Arabidopsis thaliana: one gene and its partner. The protein of the gene in region 2 interacts with the protein of the main gene of each other region in a pairwise test. Each region holds a gene or a part of one and is shown on either strand. Other genes may lie near its edges.

Region 1 (3,630 bases), 1.3 Mb from region 2:
CAATGTGAATGAAAAGGAAAGTTAGATAAGAAGAACTCACCGTTGGGCAAGAGATCTGATTTTTGGAATTCAAAAAAAAAGAACTAAATAAAAATCGTAATTATGTTCAAAAACAAAAAAATGTAATTTTGCGTTGGAACAAAGAAAAATATTATAATCTTTTTTACTTTTTGTTGGATGTTGTTAAATAGAATTTCTCTAAAATAAATTTTCAGTTGATTTTACATTTATTTTTATAAAATTATTCAAATTTATTAAGTTCATAAATAATCTTTAGTAAGTTTTATTTGTGACATTTTTTTTTTCTTTTCATTTTTTACTCTTTTATTCTTGAGAAATTGATAAAAACTAATTGACCAGTTAACAAATACTATTGATAAGATTTTTTGGTTAAGTCTTTCTTCTTATAAGGCCAAAAGCTTCTGAGCTTGTCATGAGTAAACTAGCAATCTTGGTGGTTATGCATTGCGAGTAGCTCACTTTGATAATGGTTATCGAAATCTAAACCAGTAACGAAGCATTGAGAAAATCATTTAGTAAACCAATCTCTAGTTAAGTAAAACAATTTTGTTAATAAAAATTCATGAGGTACAAGTAAAACAAGTTCTAGTTGAAGTAAGAAACTTTTAAAGAAAAATTCCCTAAGGACATTCGATCCTTACACCAAACAGCATAAACCCTCCTTTGTTCTCCTCTGATTTGGTTTCTTTATCTTCTAACATGGAGCTAACCAAGTTTTCTGTTTTCTTTACTTGCACTGAACTGTCATGAACCGTCATACTTACTTCCTCAGCTACCACGGAACCGTTGTCTGAAAAGCAATGAACATCGATCATCAAGAAGTTCTTTCTTTGACCTTCTAATGTCTTCACATTGTTCGGGACATCGCAAGTGTAGAAGGCAATAACATCCTTCTCCTTGAGATTCTTCTCCTTCACGAAACTATTCCATCCTCTGGTGAAGACAAAGCTCTGGCTACTTTTCCAGTAACAATACCTAAACTTCCATTGTCTCATTGCTCTGTCGTAAAACACAACCTCCACATCTTCCACAGATCCTACTATTTCACCCTCTTCTTTCTCGCTTTGATCAGCGCTTATGAAAGGCATATACTTCACTGCATACTTTTTAGGTATCACAAGCCTATTTAGTTTCCCTACATCGCTCGGTGTCAATTCCTTCTGAAAAAGCTGTGTGCAAGAAAAACACTTGTCTGATTCTTGATTCACTTCTCCTCGGGCTTGTTTTGGTCCCCCGATGTTGATACTCGCAACAATCTGAGATCTGATTCTGAGAAAATCTCTGAATTTGTGTTGGTACGAACCGTCTCTGATCATGTTCAACACAGTCTCTGTTGTGTAGCAATTTTGAAAGTCTGGTTCGTTGAGAGTGATTGTAGACCAAGGGAAGTTCCGGTGCGAGTTAGCGTCAAAGCTTCGGAGTTTGATAGATGCACTATCGTAAGCCGTGGCGGCTTCATCAGCGGATTTGAAAGTTCCAAGCCAAATCCTTTTGTGGTCTGCGTAAATCTGGGCACCCCAATGACCGTTCTGTTGCTGAACGACTCCTTTGTACTTGACATTGCCAGAAGCCACAACCGTCTTTGGTGAAGACGAAACCACTAGGGCGTTTTCTGGTTCGTCATCAAGTCTCATGCGTTTCTTGAGAGGCAAGAAAGAGTCGCTTGAACCTGAAGACACTGAAGTCTCCGTCTTTGCGTCGTCGATGTTGTTCATTAGAATTCAAGAAACAGAGTAGTAGAAAGATACGAGAGACAGAGAAAGAGAAGCGAAACAAAACGATGAAGAAATATGAGGAACAGAGAGAGAACTATATAAAGAGAGCAAATCGTGGGAGCAAATTGTGTTTCTTAATCTTGTTGTTTCTTGCGGTGCTTGAGTATTTATCAAGTTATCATTTTCCATTTTCTATTTGTTGTAGTTTCTATAATTTAGCTATGAGAGAAAATTATGGAAAGTATTGAAATTAAAGAATTTCCATGTTTCGTCGGTTCATTAATTACTTGATATATCTGATTGGATAAAAAATGGAAATACGTGAGAGAGCCGCTGGAAAATATCATCAAGTAACTTATTAGGGTTTTATGTTTACCCTAATTTTATCATTCATTAACAAAACGTTTCTCATCTCATGTGGTTGAGTATTTTTTTTATTTCTTCATTATTATTTGTTTTCCAATAAGTCAACTAAAAACAAAAGAAAAATTAACAAAAATATTTCTCTATGTAAAAATTTAGCAAGTTTTGAGAAGCAGAAAAAGGTACACAGTAAATGGAAAGAATACAAAACGTACGTTTAATGATGTACAACAATTAGGCTTTTGCAATCACCACGATCACGACCAATTAGGGTTACACATCTGCTTCCGTGATGGGCAAATAAGACATCTGAGATTCCTAATTTAAAACTTCAGAAATTTAATTTTGATGAGATTTCGTCTACTTGATTATACGAAAGGAAGGAATAGTTATGATTTGATTTGACTTTTAATTTTCCGGATTTGGATTTTTAACTTTGAAAACTAGTGAGTATTTTTTAACCAAATTTAACCGATCTAGATTAATTTTAACAACCACAATGATGATAAGGTTTTACAATAATCATCTACTAGCTAGTTTAGTGTCTCTACACGAATTTTCTCTCTTGGAGGCTTGATATTTTCTTAGTCACTTTTTTTCTTTTTGTTTTTTGTTTGTTGTGCACACTATAAATAGAAGAGGGACCTTTTTTTTATCTTGAATGATAGAAGAAACAGAGAATTAGGGTTTCATCTAATCTGCCATAGTTATGGATCCGCAGGTGGTGGTCGATAAGAAATCTGAGGAGCCTGATCTGAAGCGTCAGAAGCTGGAGGAGGAGGAGGAGGAGGATTGCGAAGAGATGTCTTCGTACAGCGAGTCGACGTGTAGTTTCGATTCGGAAGATGAACGATTGGTCGAAGAAGAATACCAAAGAAGCGGGGTATGTAGTTGTAATGATCCACCAATCTCTCCTTCGCTTCTTACTTTTTCGAATTGAGATTTTGTCTGTGATTTCAAAAGCATTATGTCGGCTTCTCTCATGAATGTGATTGTTGTCTGTAGTATTACGACTTTGACACCACGAAACAAAGACGCCTTGTGTTTTGCTATCCTGTTATCTTCGAGGATAGTGACGTTGCTCATAAACCCGAAACCGACGGAGATTTGGTTCATAGATTATCCAAGATTGCTCTTCAGAAATACAATGATGATAAGCTGGAAAATCTTGAACTTGTGAGAGCTGTCAAGGCTAATCGGAAATATGGAGCCGGATTCATTTTCTACATCACCTTCGAGGCCAAGGATGCTAATTCTCACACTGACCCCATTACTTTTCAAGCTGCCGTTCGCTACCTTCGAGGGATTGAAACGGTCTACCGTGTCCACCCTAAACCATTATTAGATTCGTAAGCTCTAAAATTTTCCCATCCTACTAAGTTTAAGTTGTTATTGATATGTGTTTTGGTAAAATCTTGTTTTTTTTTGTGTGTTTACTGTTTAGGACCAAGTAGTGGCAGATGTAACGGGATGTTCCTTTGTATAATGACATTCTACTCAACTTTCTATTTATCTGCAAACTTCTTTACCG
Region 2 (3,312 bases):
GAAGGTCTAGACTATACAGATACTTTCTCTCCAGTGGCAAAGATGACTACAATCAAGTTGTTATTGAAGATTTCTGCCTCTAAGAAATGGTTCTTAAAACAGCTTGATGTGTCTAATGCTTTCTTGAATGGTGAGTTAGAGGAAGAGATTTACATGAAGTTACCTGAAGGTTATGCGGCAAGGAAAGGTATCACTCTACCTCCTAATTCAGTCTGTCGATTGAAGAGATCCATTTATGGTTTGAAACAGGCCTCTCGTCAGTGGTTTAAGAAGTTTTCTGCTTCATTACTTGATTTGGGTTTTAAGAAGACACATGGTGATCATACTTTGTTTATTAAAGAGTATGATGGAGAATTTGTGATTGTTTTGGTTTATGTTGATGATATTGCTATTGCGAGTACAAGTGAAGGTGCTGCAATACAATTGACTCAGGATTTACAACAGCGATTCAAGTTAAGAGATCTTGGGGATTTGAAATATTTTTTGGGTCTTGAGATTGCTAGAACTGAAGCTGGTATTTCTATCTGCCAGAGAAAGTATGCTCTTGAGTTATTAGCATCTACTGGTATGGTTAACTGTAAACCTGTTTCAGTTCCCATGATCCCGAATGTGAAGATGATGAAGACTGATGGTGATTTGTTGGATGATAGAGAACAATACCGTCGTATTGTAGGAAAGCTGATGTATTTGACAATTACTAGACTTGACATCACCTTTGCAGTTAACAAGTTATGTCAGTTTTCCTCTGCTCCTAGGACGTCTCATCTTCAAGCTGCTTATCGAGTTTTACAATATATCAAAGGCAGTGTTGGCCAAGGTCTGTTCTATTCTGCATCTGCAGATCTTACTCTTAAAGGTTTTGCAGATTCAGATTGGGCTTCCTGTCCAGATAGTAGGAGATCAACAACTGGATTCAGCATGTTTGTGGGTGATTCATTGATATCTTGGCGTTCCAAGAAACAGCATGTGGTTTCCAGATCTTCTGCAGAGGCTGAGTACCGTGCCTTAGCACTGGTTACGTGTGAACTGGTATGGCTTCACACTTTGCTCATGTCTTTAAAAGCTAGCTACTTGGTTCCTGTGTTATATTCTGATAGCACAACTGCTATTTACATCGCCACAAATCCTGTGTTCCATGAAAGAACGAAGCATATAGAGCTAGATTGTCACACGGTTAGGGAGAAACTAGACAATGGCGAGCTGAAGTTGCTTCATGTGCGAACTGAAGACCAAGTAGCGGACATTCTTACTAATCCGTTATTTCCCCATCAATTCGAACACCTTAAATCCAAGATGAGCATTCTTAATATCTTTTCATGCACATCTTGAGGGGGCATATCAGATATGTATATTGGTTTAGTTGGTATTAGTTGGTTTAGTAGAACCATTGTATAGTGTAAAGTATATAAGACATTTGTACAGAATCATTTTACAATTAATGAGAAAAGGCTTCATAATATCTTCAACAAACTTTTCTCTCATCTCTATTCCGCTAATAATTCATTTTAACGAAGTAAATACTATTTTTAAATCCACTCTCATATTTTAACCATTTTTTAGTTAAATTTAATATAGAAGAAATTATTTTTAAAAAAAACTAAATATGAATTAAATTATTTTTAGAAGGGGAAAATAAATTAAATTCATATGTATCAATTAATAAATAAAAGGCAACTGAAAAAAACGTCTAAAAGCCTCTATATAAAAACCACATCACCACTCTCACAACATCCCCTTCTCTTTCGCTTTCTCTCTTCTCTCTTCTCTCCATTAACTTCTCTCTCGTTTTCTCATACTCTCAACTTAATATGCCGTCGGAACCAAACCAAACCCGACCCACCAGAGTTCAGCCCTCAACGGCGGCTTACCCACCGCCAAATCTGGCTGAGCCTCTTCCTTGTCCTCGCTGCAACTCCACCACCACCAAGTTCTGTTACTACAACAACTATAACCTCGCTCAGCCTCGCTACTACTGCAAATCTTGCCGCCGTTACTGGACTCAAGGTGGTACACTCCGTGACGTCCCCGTCGGTGGTGGAACTCGTCGAAGCTCCTCAAAACGTCACCGTTCTTTCTCCACCACTGCCACCTCCTCTTCCTCCTCTTCTTCCGTCATCACCACCACGACACAAGAACCAGCCACGACTGAAGCGAGTCAAACTAAGGTTACTAATTTAATTTCAGGTCATGGAAGCTTTGCTTCTCTGTTAGGTTTAGGAAGTGGAAATGGTGGGTTGGATTACGGGTTTGGGTACGGGTACGGGCTTGAGGAGATGAGTATTGGGTATCTTGGAGATTCTTCCGTAGGAGAGATTCCGGTGGTTGATGGTTGTGGTGGTGACACGTGGCAGATTGGGGAGATTGAAGGTAAAAGTGGAGGAGACAGTTTGATATGGCCTGGTCTTGAGATCTCAATGCAAACCAACGATGTTAAGTGAAAATGAAACCGTTTCTGATTTCTTGCCTTTGTCTTCTTTTGTTGGTGTCTTTTTGGAAATTTCTGTTTGTTTTCTTTTTTTTCCTAGAAAGAAGAGCAAAAGAAACCAAATTGAAGCAAAAATGTTTTTATTTATTTTAGTTTTTGAGGTCCAACAATTCTGGTGTATAAATCCTCTGTTTATGTGACGAACATATTGGAATGGATTTACAAGTAAAAAGTAAAAACGTTTCTTTCTTTTTATTTTGGTTGGTTAATATTTTGAAAGGAATAGTCAAATGTAGAAAGATGAATTGAGCATAAAAGTCCAAAAAGGGAAAAAGTACATAAGTACTGTTGCAGAAGTGAGTAAGAGATGCTCTGTTGCTACATCTTTGAAATGAGGAAATTGCGTTGAACTTAATTTTGTTTGTATTATAGATAAACATCAACAACAACATTGTTCATTTGCAGTGTAGAAGATTTTGTATATCAAAGTCATGTGAGTCTAGTGTTTAGCATATGAGACAATTCATATGAATGCTAAGAACTAAAACCTTTCATTCGATCAATGGATTAGAAATTCTTAGGGTTAATGTAGATTATGGTGTACTTATCAGCTAGTGTTATTTTTTTGTAAAAATCTTTAGGTTTAATCCTTGTGTCAAACATCTCAGCTAGAGTGTACTTGGTTAAACGTTCAAATAAAATTTGAATGTAGGGAATATAGCTAATAGATATTGTTGTGTAGTCTCCTATTGTGGTCAAAGCAAGAAAAACGAATTGTGTTGAATATAATTAACGGTAACTACATCATGACTATATTGAGAATGATGCTCAAGTTTATTACCAACTAATAAAACTTTTGCCCACCTAAATCAATCAACAATGTTCAG

Evidence for each region.
Region 1: the proteins of AT1G47655 (region 2) and AT1G50680 interact in a two-hybrid assay, tested with the Arabidopsis thaliana proteins (one large-scale study listed by BioGRID).

What each region holds. Positions count from the first base shown.
Region 1 is NC_003070.9:18,776,960-18,780,589, forward strand, and holds AT1G50680 (AP2/B3 transcription factor family protein), read right to left. Parts: upstream 1,656-3,630; coding exon 642-1,655; downstream 1-641. Other genes in the region: AT1G50690 (Cystatin/monellin superfamily protein), read left to right, coding at 2,809-2,982, 3,105-3,448, 3,544-3,553.
Region 2 is NC_003070.9:17,523,629-17,526,940, forward strand, and holds AT1G47655 (Dof-type zinc finger DNA-binding family protein), read left to right. Parts: upstream 1-1,713; 5' UTR 1,714-1,808; coding exon 1,809-2,438; 3' UTR 2,439-2,680; downstream 2,681-3,312. UniProt on the Arabidopsis thaliana protein: Transcription factor that binds specifically to a 5'-AA[AG]G-3' consensus core sequence.